3 linked regions of the Canis lupus familiaris genome follow. The protein of the gene in region 1 purifies or fractionates together with the protein of each later gene. This does not show direct contact. Links are inferred from orthologs where the notes say so. Each region holds a gene or a part of one and is shown in the gene's direction. Other genes may lie near its edges.

Evidence for each region.
Region 2: the proteins of OGDH (region 1) and DLST fractionate together in Homo sapiens (co-fractionation; 3 studies listed by BioGRID). This does not show direct contact. The link is inferred for Canis lupus familiaris from reciprocal best matches to the Homo sapiens genes OGDH and DLST.
Region 3: the proteins of OGDH (region 1) and PDHA1 fractionate together in Homo sapiens (co-fractionation; 3 studies listed by BioGRID). This does not show direct contact. The link is inferred for Canis lupus familiaris from reciprocal best matches to the Homo sapiens genes OGDH and PDHA1.

Annotation. Positions count from the first base shown.
Region 1 is NC_049237.1:14,047,338-14,050,982, reverse strand, and holds part of OGDH (2-oxoglutarate dehydrogenase, mitochondrial), read left to right. Parts: intron 1-1,848; coding exon 1,849-2,028; intron 2,029-2,305; coding exon 2,306-2,458; intron 2,459-2,707; coding exon 2,708-2,810; intron 2,811-2,924; coding exon 2,925-3,053; intron 3,054-3,253; coding exon 3,254-3,404; intron 3,405-3,621; coding exon 3,622-3,645. UniProt on the Homo sapiens protein: 2-oxoglutarate dehydrogenase (E1o) component of the 2-oxoglutarate dehydrogenase complex (OGDHC). Participates in the first step, rate limiting for the overall conversion of 2-oxoglutarate to succinyl-CoA and CO(2) catalyzed by the whole OGDHC.
Region 2 is NC_049229.1:48,328,313-48,331,957, forward strand, and holds part of DLST (dihydrolipoyllysine-residue succinyltransferase component of 2-oxoglutarate dehydrogenase complex, mitochondrial), read left to right. Parts: intron 1-485; coding exon 486-541; intron 542-669; coding exon 670-744; intron 745-970; coding exon 971-1,026; intron 1,027-1,514; coding exon 1,515-1,626; intron 1,627-3,645. UniProt on the Homo sapiens protein: Dihydrolipoamide succinyltransferase (E2) component of the 2-oxoglutarate dehydrogenase complex. The 2-oxoglutarate dehydrogenase complex catalyzes the overall conversion of 2-oxoglutarate to succinyl-CoA and CO(2).
Region 3 is NC_049260.1:15,414,495-15,418,938, forward strand, and holds the start of PDHA1 (pyruvate dehydrogenase E1 component subunit alpha, somatic form, mitochondrial), read left to right. Parts: upstream 1-1,552; 5' UTR 1,553-1,675; coding exon 1,676-1,732; intron 1,733-4,444. UniProt on the Homo sapiens protein: The pyruvate dehydrogenase complex catalyzes the overall conversion of pyruvate to acetyl-CoA and CO(2), and thereby links the glycolytic pathway to the tricarboxylic cycle.

The DNA of each region.
Region 1 (3,645 bases):
TTTAGGAGCTGTGGTTTTGCTCATGTTTTCTTCAGTCTCTTCATTGATATTTTGATGCCACAGATCATGACACAGTGTGAGACCAGGTCAGTAAGATATGTAGCGAGAGATGAAGTGGCTGTTTTCCTGATGCTCTTGTTTCTCTATGGATGTATCTACGATTTGACCAGAAATTCTCTCCTGAGGAAGCCATCAGATGCTAAATGCTTTTCTATGTTTGTCAAAACCATAATGGTACTGCTTACAAAAGTAGAAAATAAGCCATATGTCTGACAGTAGAAGTCTTGGCATATATTTCGGCAAAACCATAGGAAGCAGTGCTATATAATCATCAAAACATTTAATACCATGGAGACAGAGTCACAGTTTGGTGAAAGGCAGTGTGGGGCCCTCACTTGCCACTGGCTGGAACTTGAATGGCACACTCGCAACAGAAGAGAAGCTTGCTGGCATTTGCAGACATCCACAGGCTCGCAGCCTGTGGCTCAGCGTTCCCTTCCTGGGAGTGAACGCAAGTGAGCTCCGTATTTGCTGGAGCAGACCTGTGTGGGAACGTGTCCACCACCAGTAAAATGGACAGATGCCAATGCTATGAAAATCAAGAAAGGTGGGGAGTCTTCCAGATGAAAGGGAAACAAGAGAGGGCACAGAGTGGGGGCGTGTGTGTGTGGAGTCTGGGACATGGAATTGATTAGGCTGCTCAGGGAACATCCCTGTTTTAGCAAATGGGGACTACCACCTACGTCCTGTGTCGCACGCGTGTGGAGGGAGGGAGCATGGATGGTAAAAGACAAAAGGCAACAAATGCCAAATCTGAGTAAAGAGTGTATGGGAGTTATTTGTGTTATTCTTTCAACTTTCTCCACTCTGAAATTGTATCAAAATTGTAAAGTTGGGACAAGCCTAAGAGGATAGTCGCTGCAGCAGAAGCAGGTCATGTTGGCACAGAGGTTTGGAGGCGCTCATGTGTGACCACTATGGTATTGTCACACTGTGCGTGTGAGGCATTTCCTAGAAGTCAATAGGAGATATAGGTCATAGAAATACAAATATAGACAAAGTAAGGATGATCATGAAAGCTTTAAATTTTCCTTTCAAAGAAAACAGTGCTGATGGGGATCCCTGGGTGGCTCAGCAGTTTAGTGCCTGCCTTTGGCCCAGGGTGTGATCCTGGAGTCCCGGGAACGAGTCCCACGTCAGGCTCCCTGCATGGAGCCAGCTTCTCCCTCTGCCTGTGTGTGTGTGTGTGTGTGTGTCTCTGTCTCTCATGAATAAATAAAATCTTGAAAGAAAGAAGAAAAAAGAAAGAAAGAAAGAAAGAAAGAAAGAAAGAAAGAAAGAAAGAAAGAGAAAAGAAAGAAAGAAAAGGAAAGGAAAGGAAGGAAGAAAAAAAAAGAAAAGAAAAGAAAAGAAAGACAAAATAGTGCTTACAGTGTTAAATGAAGAAACTGCTGGGTTATAGACCAGCCTCTGAAATTTTTAATATATATTAGCTGTATATGTGCAAAGAAAGACATCAAGGTGTTTACCCTGTACCTGGTGGAAAGATATGTAACTTTGTTTAAATTAACTTTAATTTTTTAATCCTGTCTTCCAAACTCTATGTGTTGAACATATGAAGTTTATTCGCAGAATAGGAAACAACAAAACAGTTTTTAATAAACCACCTGAGTAGCCATTTGGGGACCAAGTAGGGCAGGTGCAGCCAGGAGGCAGCTAAGACAGTGGTGCTCCACCCACCCCACCCAGCCTAACCCCGCCCAGCCCCACCTGTCTGACCCGGCCCCGCTGGGCCAGTGGAGTGCCATCCACCTTGCCCAGCCCCGCCCAGCAGTGTGTCTCTTGCAGATCGGCTTCACCACTGACCCACGCATGGCCCGCTCCTCACCCTACCCCACTGACGTGGCCCGCGTCGTGAATGCGCCCATTTTCCACGTGAACTCGGACGACCCAGAGGCTGTCATGTATGTGTGCAAGGTGGCGGCCGAGTGGCGGAGCACCTTCCATAAGGACGTGGTAGTGGACCTGGTGAGCAGCCTCCATCTGTGTCTGGGAGAGGAGCAGTGGGCTCCCACTCGAGGCAGACCCACCCACATCCTAGGGCCCTGCCGGGAAGGAAGGTAGTTCAGGTCTTGTGTCAGGGTGTCCTCAGGTCACTGGTTTCATCTCCTGTGGTGGCGACTCTGGCATAAAGGAGATTTCAGCAGGACCCGAATTGTAGAGGAGGGACAACAGGGCGCACGGTGCAGGAGAGCAGGCTGGTGCTGGTGGGTCTCTGATGCCAACATGTCTGGGCTGTGTCCAGGTGTGTTATCGGCGCAACGGCCACAACGAGATGGATGAGCCCATGTTCACGCAGCCACTCATGTACAAGCAGATCCGCAAGCAGAAGCCCGTGCTGCAGAAGTATGCAGAGCTGCTGGTGTCCCAGGGTGTGGTCAACCAGCCGGAGTACGAGGTAAGTCCCCGGTTCCAATCCAGGAGGGGTGGACAGAGACCAGGCAGGGACAGGGCATCTGACCTCAAGCAGGTCTGCAGCCCCTAGACACAAAGCAGATGCTAGGGATAAAGATGAGAACACAGCAGGCTTCTGGCAGGCCTCAGAGCCGTCGTACACATGGGGGGCCAGCAGAGTCAGGTGCGCTGTGGTGGGTGGGGTACCCTATGCAGAGCGCCCCTAATGGCTGTGCTATGCCTGACCCCACAGGAGGAGATCTCCAAGTATGATAAGATCTGCGAGGAGGCCTTCACCAGGTCCAAGGACGAGAAGATCTTGCACATCAAGCACTGGCTGGACTCCCCCTGGCCCGGTGAGTGAAGAGCATCGCCTTTGCCCCTCTCCTCCACCCCCACCACACCCCTGTGGGCTACAGTTGGTTTCTAGAAGAGTGGCGGCCATGTGTCAGCTTGTCTCCCTGTCCTAGGCTTCTTCACCCTGGACGGACAGCCAAGGAGCATGACCTGCCCCTCCACAGGCCTGACGGAGGACATTCTGACACACATTGGGAACGTGGCCAGTTCCGTGCCCGTGGAGAACTTCACCATTCATGGAGGTGAGGACGCCCACTGACCTGTGGAAGTGTTGGGCCATGTCCGTGGACTTCTCTCCAGCACGGGACTGGCTCAGCATGGTCCTCCACCCCCGTGACAGAGGAAAGGGTGGGCCATCACAGCTGCTGGCCAGGCCGAAGGAGCTACTGCTCTTGTCCCCCGCTGGTATGCCCGGTGGCTGCTGAGCACCCTGTCTGTGCAGGACTGAGCCGGATCTTGAAGACCCGCGGGGAGATGGTGAAGAACAGGACCGTGGACTGGGCTCTGGCGGAGTACATGGCTTTCGGGTCCCTCCTGAAGGAGGGCATCCATATCCGGCTAAGCGGCCAGGATGTGGAGCGAGGCACCTTTAGGTAATTCTCTCAGGATTCTTTTGGCACCAAAAGGGAGGGCTCTGGTGTTTCTCTAGAGAAGAAAATCCTGTGTCGGCCTGCAAGCACTCTTCCCCTGCTCAGACGTTGACACTTCTGTGGAGAAGTGGCCACTGCAGCAAGTAGCTGCCTCTTGGGTCTGTGTGTCAGGGCACAGCACAGGTGCTCCCACCTTCTAATCTGTGCTGTTGTGCCACAGCCACCGCCACCACGTGCTCCACGA
Region 2 (3,645 bases), on another chromosome or scaffold:
AGTCTGTAATCCCGCAGACAGAAATTTCATTGTTTGTGGCACAATGGCAGGTACTCTGCGGGCACACAATTTATTGTACTTAGATTTGGTCAAGAAAAAAAACCTAATGGGGAGGCTAATTCCTTTTGGTGGGTGTGCAAAGGACCAAGATGCTTATCTTTTTCTTCACTGAACCCAGTGAAAAATCTCTATTTTGTGCGAGCTGGCATTTCACTGCAACAGAGGGTTATGGACTCACCCAAGGAGTTTACTACCTTGGGTACCCAAGTCATCCAGGATCTGCTGTAGACCTGCTGAGTCAGAATCCTTGGGGTTGGGGCCTGGACATGAAGGCTTTGAAAAAGGTTCCCTAGATGACACTCACAGGCACCCCTGGCTGAGAATCACTGATTTTTAAGGGCAAGTGGTCCATGGTCCCTTGTCTAGACTACAATGTGAGTGGTTCACCTGCTAAAGGAGTTTACTTTTTTATGTTTTTTCTGTAGTATTAACAACAGTAGTGTCTTCAGTGTTCGCTTCTTCAGAACTACAGCTGTGTGCAGTAAGTACCTGCCTTCAGTTCCCTGCCTTCTTGGGAATGGCATTTTAATGGGAAGAGCAACAATGAACAGAGTTTAATTAAAAAGGAGAAATACGGACTACATTTGAATTTTTTTTCTCTTTTCCTAGAGGATGATGTGATTACAGTCAAAACCCCAGCATTTGCAGAATCTGTCACAGAGGGAGATGTCAGGTGGGAGAAAGGTAAGTTTTTAGGCTCTACTCCTTAAGTTTAAATATTTAATAAAATTGTCATTGCCGACTCCCCCCAACCCCCACCCCAGTAATTGGGTTCCTCCCTTTTCTTTACATGCAATGTAATTTTTCCTGACACTATAGGAAAGGGGGCTTGTAACACACCTATCAAAAGGGATTTTGTGGCTACTGGAGATGTCCCCCCTTAACAGGTAGTCTTTGACTATCTTTTCAGCTGTTGGAGATACTGTTGCAGAAGATGAAGTGGTTTGTGAGATTGAAACTGACAAGGTAGGCTTGTCCTATGTTAGTGTAATTTTTCATGGTTTCCTCTTGGTTTAACCTAATTTTTTTTTCAAATGGACTTGTGAACTGTTTAAAGATAATTTTTAACTTGCTCTAACCTCAATTGTAAAAGTGTTGGAATAGCTTATTAAAAAAGAAAAACTTAAAAGTTTTAATTTTGGATTATTCTCAATATAAGTATTATGTACTTTAGCAGAATTAGTTTTGTAGCATGTGTATGTGCACGTGCATGAACTGTTTTGGTTTGTTTTGTGTATCACTTGGAAACACATTAACTGAACATTGTTTCTGAAAAAAGACAAAGGGTGAATCTTCACAATAGCATTAACTTTTCATTACTCTGAAAGTGTGGCTTTGGTGTTTCTATAAGCAGAGTCTAATATCTGTGTTGTGACTCATATTTGAGATTCTAGACAATTTTCTAATACTGAGTAAAGATTTGGACTCTTTTACAATCTGTCCTTGTTTTCTAGACATCTGTGCAGGTTCCATCACCAGCAAATGGCGTGATTGAAGCTCTTTTGGTACCTGATGGGGGAAAAGTAGAAGGAGGCACTCCTCTTTTCACACTCAGGAAAACTGGCGGTAAAGAAGTTCTCCTGGTTGTCAAGGTCTCCAGTGTTCCCCCTTGGAATTGGGGCTGAGCATAATGTACTAATACCTTGATACCTCAGAGGTTATTTGGCATTCCAGCTCCTGTTAGTTGAGAGACTAAGACAGGTGATATTTACATAGAGGGTAGTTTAAATGCCAAGTTCTAGAAGAAAAGTATTTAAAAAGAAAAAAAAAAACGTATAATTTTCTTTCCATGTATGTTTCTTATGCTAGACCTTTGTTTTTTATTTTTTTAAAGATTTTATTTATTCAAGAAAGAGACAGAGAGGCAGAGACCTAGACAGAGGGGGAAGCAGGCTTCTCGCAGAGTGCCCAGTGCATGACTTGATCCCTGGACCTGGGATCATGCCCTGAGCCGAAGGCAGCTGATCAGTCTCTGAGCCACCCAGGTATCCCATGCTAGCCCTTTTTTAAAGATATAATAGAATGAAGAAGAGTCTAAGGTATTGATTTTTTTTTTTTCCCCCTCCCCATCCCTGGCATCAGAATCCCATCGGGGTTTAAAAACAGACAAATGCAGGGCACCTGGGTGGCTCAGTTAGTTAAGTGACCAACTCTTGATTTCCACTTAGGTCATGATCTCAGGGTCCTGAGATTGAGCTTTACCCTGGGTCTGGAGCCTCCTTAAGATAGTGTGTCTGTGTGTGTGTCTCAAAAGGAAAAAAAAAAAAAAAGGGCAGCCTGGGTGGCTCAGCGGTGGTCTTTTATTTAATTTTAATTTTAATTTTAATTATTTTAATTTAATTTTAATTTTAATTTTATTTTTTATTTTGGCTCAGCGGTTTAGCGTCGCCTTCAGTCCAGGGCATGATCCTGGAGACCCAGGATGAGTCCCACATCGGGCTTCGTGCATGGAGCCTGCTCCTCCCTCTGCCTGCATCTCTGCCTCTCTCTCTGTGTCTCTCATGAACAAATAAATCTTAAAAAACAAAAAAATTTATGGGGCACCTTGGCTCAGCTGAGGGTCTGCCTTTGGCTCAGGTCATAATCATAGGGTCCTGAATTAGCCCCTTGTCAGGCTCCCTGTTGAGTGGGGAGCCTGCTTCTCTCTCTCTTCCCTTTGCCTGCTGCTCCCCCTGCTGTGTGTGCACTCCCTGTCAAATAAATAAATAAATCTTAAAATATATGTAGAACACAAATGCCTAGACCCCATGGTCCAGGGATATATTAAATCTGAGGTTTTCAGATCCTGGTTATTATCCTAGTTTGTTTTGTTTTAATGCTCTCCAACTGATTTTGATACACAGCAAGGGCTTAGAACTACTATTCTAAAGTAAGAAGCAATATTTCATGGTGTCTATTCTGGAGAAGTCAGCATGGTTTTTTCACATCTATTCTCTCCTAACATTTTTAGGGAATGTTGCTCTTTCTCTAGGGAAGAAGTGAGAAATAGGAAATGAATTTGTATGGCATTTTACAGTTAATATGAGAGATTAGATAAGAAAATATTTTTCTGATTCTTAGTTAAATTCAGTAACTACTAAAGTCTGTTTCTTTTTCATTATCCTAAAATAGTTAAGGAGAGAGATAGTAGATTGCATCATTGAGATTGATCAGAGTAAGACCAGAAGCCCAGAATGAAAATAATGTGCAGTAGAAGGGAATAAGATCAATTCTTCCATCTTCTGATCATTCCTTAAAAAGAGTATTTTTATTTTTATTTTTATTTTAAGATTTATTTATTTATTCATGAGAGACACAGACTGAGAGAGGCACAGGCAGAAGGAGAAGCAGGCTTCTTGCCTGAGCTGAAGGCAGGCGCCCCCAAAAAGAATATTTTTCTGATTTAAATATGAAACCAGATATGTACAGATGGATAAAATCAAAATGAATATCTAATTTAAAGTTGTGGTTTATGAGCATAGATGAAATGCTTTATGAGCATAGATGAAATGCTTTGAACTATGAGATTTTGATTATTTAAACTTTTATTTTTTTAATAGTTAAGAGAATTCTTCCATATGTGATCTTAAAATAGAAGATGAGGCT
Region 3 (4,444 bases), on another chromosome or scaffold:
ACATGACTGGTATGAAAATGTGTAAAGATGTATCTAATCCTCTATGGTTTTACTGTTCAGCCTCTTTTCTGGGTTTCCTCCTGACAGGAGAATTATACTTCAACCTGTTGAACTCAGATACGGTTGTGTGACTAGCTCTGGTTTATGGAAATTGAGAGGACATGACATGTGTCACTTCTGGGTAGAAGCTTTGAGAGCCAGTTTATTTATTTATTTATTTTTTATTTATTTATGACAGTCACAGAGAGAGAAAGGGAGAGAGGCAGAGACACAGGCAGAGGGAGAGGCAGGCTCCATGCACCGGGAGCCTGACGTGGGATTCGATCTCGGGTCTCCAGGATCGCGCCCTGGGCCAAAGGCAGGCGCCAAACCGCTGCGCCACCCAGGGATCCCTATTTATTTATTTTTTTTAAGAGAGAGAGGCAGACACACAGGCAGAGGGAGAAGCAGGCTCCATGCAGGGAGCCTGACGTGGGACTCGATCCGGGGACCCCAGGATCACGCCCTGGGCTGAAGGCGGCGCTAAACTGCTGAGCCACCAGGGCTGCCCTGAGAGCCAGTTTAAATGATCCCTTTGCCTTTTACGGTACAGTAGGTACAGTAAGTTGCTGACAGATGCTATTCCATCAGTTTGAGTGCCAGAGTGAAGATGACATGGAGCAGATCCCAGCCAAGCCGTGAGGGACCTGAAGTGTAAACAAGGTGACTTGAGTCCTTGAGTCGGTTCAAGTTCTTGGAGTTCAAATTGTGGTTTCAGCCTCTCACCATTCTGACCACTGTCCCCTGGATTCCACCCATTTTTGACAACATTCCCCTTACATGGGGACCCCAAATCTGAACCTAGTATCCCAGGTGTAACCCCACTGGCCCACAGTCAGCTCTCTGACCTGGGAACTCACTGAATCGAGCCTAGACTTATTTTTGTGTTTGCTTCTTTGTGTGTGCTTTTATTATCAGCTGTGTCATGCGGCTGTTAACTCCCGTTGAGCTCGCGAACCAGTAACTAGAGCTAAAGGCTTTTCCCAGCTGATCTCTCAATATTTACTTGGGGAATTGATTTTTAGATCGTAACTCAAGTACACAGGGCAGCATTTTACAACTGTTACATGATCTCTTAAAGACAAGTTAGCAGCAGAACCATTTACAGAAACCAGAGGTTCCGTCTCGGCTCCGACCACGCCATGAGTCTTCATCTTGCCGTGCATTGAACGAAGGCTGCCAAAGTGCAGCCCCGGCGAGACTGGGCGCACGGCAGGTGGCCCGTACGGTTTCCCGCCGTGCACGCCTAACCTGAGTCGCAAAACTCCATGAAAAGCCATTTTCCCGCGGGGTTCCGGAGGCGGGGCTCCACTTTCCCAGGCGGACGCCCTCAAGTTCCCGCATCCCCGCCCGCCCGTGACGTGATGACGCAACGAGCCCCCCAGTGCCCGCCCCCTATGGCGCCAACACCCAATGAGCGGCCGCGGACCTCTTCGGTGGGCGGGACACGCAACTGGGAGCCCGCTTGGTTGGCCTGCGGCCTGGCGCGGCGCGTGACGAATTTCCGTTTCGTCGGTCGTGCTGCAGTTAAGGCGTGGCGTCCGCTCCGGGCGCCTGAAGGAGACTTGGGAGATTTCGGGGCCGCGCCGCCTGTGTACTTGGGAGTCGCCTACGCCGCCGCCGCTGCCGGCAATCCATGAGGAAGATGCTCGCCGCTGTCTCCCGCGTGTTGTCGGGCGTCTCCCAGAAGCCGGTGAGGCAGCAGCATGGGCGGCCCGGGGTAGGGCGCGAGCGGGGTCGAGGCGGGGCCCGACGCGGGAGTACGGCCAGGGCTTGGGGGCGCGCGGTGTGGTGCCTCTTAGGGCGCTGCGGAGCGGCCGGAGGGTAGCGGGCCTTTTGTTCTGCCTTCGCGCCTGGCACTCGGCTCCCTGCTCCGGGACTAGCGGCTGCTGGGCCCATCAGCCGCAAAAGGGGGGAGGGGAGCTCTACCAGGTCCACGGGGAGGTCAGCTGTGACTCCCGGCGCTGGCTACAGTAGGTGTGCTCCAGAAATGCCCGTTCATTTACTGCTGACAGAAAAGGGGGCCTGGGGCATCCACGAGTCCCCAGTTGATCCTGCCCATTCATTTGAAGTCTTCCTAATTTTGTTCTTCTTGACTAAGAGGCCACGTGGTGTGTTAAGAACGTGAACTTCAGAAACTGGTCCTGTTCAAACACCTGCCTCACCATTTACTAGCTCTGTGAGCTTAGGCAGGTTTTTGTTTTAAATCTCCCTTGCTCGGTTTCCAGCTCTCTAAAGAGATAATACGAGTATTCACCCCAAGGGGTTGTCCTGAAGCTTAAACTCTTGACATATATGTAAACCTTGCCAAATAGCGCCTGGTATATAGTAGGTGCTATCTGTGTTAGATGTTATTTCAGGGGCACCTGGGTGGCTTAGTGGTTGAGAGTAGGGCTTTGGCTCAGGTAGTGATCCCGGGGTCCTGGGATCAAGTTCCACATCAGGCTCCCCACGGGAAGCCTGCTTCTCCCTCTGCCTATGTCTCTGTCTTTCATGAATAAATAAAATCTTTTTTAAAAATGTTACTTCAGTGCCCCCTTGGGTATACATTTGTGAAACACCTTCACCCAGCTCTGGAGGGTTAAGTCTGGGTCATGCTCACCAGAAATCACCACCCCTCCTTTCCCACAGTGTTGAGTTTTTCTTGGCAGTCACTTCCAAGAGCAGTCAAGCAGAACCCGGAGGAAATTGCCCTTCTTACACGCACACGCTTAGGGTAAAAGTAGCTAAAGAAAACAGCTTTGGTGCTTGGGAGAGTGGGGTTAGAGGTCAGCACTATTTATGGCTCCAGTTTTTAGATGTGCCTCAAGCCTTCCAGCATTTTGACCTCTAGGTATGGGGAGGTAGTATTACTGGGTAGAACTGTAGCCAAGCTTGACTTGCAGTTCAGGTTCTAGTAACTTCCAGGACTTTGTGGCAGTTCTGCTTACTGTGGGCAGAAATCATTGAAAGGTAGGAAGTATACCCTTTTGGGAATCCCATTGACTGAAATAACTACAAAACATAATTGGGGGGAAAAAAAACACAATTTGGTTCATCAGTCATTAGCATTTAATTGCAACTAGATCCACCTAAAGGATAAGCTCATTTCAGTGTTATTTCTGTATATCACATGATAGATCCAACATTTCTTGAGATCTTAATATGTGCCAGATGCTAGGCTATTTAATCTCCACAACTTCAGTTTTTAGTTGAATGTAAGTAATGGAAACACGTGTTCAACTTTATATGAGAATCTTAGTTTTGTATCATGTTAAATTTAAAGGGTTGTAGTAGAAAGGAAAAACTTTGATAGAATTGGTGATGTTCTACAGAAAAAAATTAGTGTATGCGTTTCAAATTACTGTCATCTCTGTGTCCCTAGGAACAGAGAGAAGCCATTAATATTAGAGGCTCATTTGCTCGGCTATCCAAAATATTTCTGGTTGTGTTTTTCAGTCTTCCAGCAATGCGTTGGCATGAAATGCTTCATCTCCATAAAACTTTGGTCTCTTCAAAAAATCATATACTACTGCCCAAATCAAATAGAAATGAATTTTGAGGGCAGCCCAGGTGGCTCAGCGGTTTAGCGCTGCCTTCAGCCCAGGGCCTGATCCTGGAGACCTGGGATCGAGTCCCACGTCAGGCTCCCTGCATGGAGCCTGATTCTCCCTCTGCCTGTGTCTCTGCCTGCCTCTTTCTCTCTCTCTCTCCCCCCTCACCCCCCTCTCGAATAAATAAATATTTTTAAAAAAATGAATTTTGAGTTCTAGTAATTTGTTAACTGGATAAGATCAGAGTAGAATATAACTTCATTTAGTCAAAAATTGTTATTGAGAGAAAAGATTATTACAGCGGAAATGGATTCCTATGTATAACATTTCTTCTATTTAATTAGTTTTTTTAAAAATAACCATTAGAGAGATGCCTGGGTGGCTCAGCAGTTGAGCTTCCACCTTCAGCTCAGGGCGTGATCCCAGAGTACCGGGATTGAGTCCCACATTGGGCTTCCTGCATGGAGCCTGCTTCTCCCTCTGCCTATGTCTCTTGCCTCTCTGTCTCTGTCTCTGTGTCTCTAATGAATAAATAAATAAAATCTTAAAATAAAAACGATTAGAGACAGTGACAGTACAACATTTTCCCTTACGTTCTCTAAGATATTAAACACCTACTTTATACAATGAGTTTTTTGAAAGACAAATTCCTTAAACTTATTTGTATCACCTGTGCTTAGAAAGTGGTTGTTTCTGTCTTGATGGGAGTAACATCTGGTATGCTTACTTATTTTTAAAGACACTTTTGCAAATCAAAGTGTCAAACCCAGAATGGGAACTTGGCAATCTGTGGAATAAGAAACTTACCCAGTTCATGACGGTTTCAAGTGTGTTTCCTTTCATCTAACAATGATTTTTTAGCATTAAGAAGT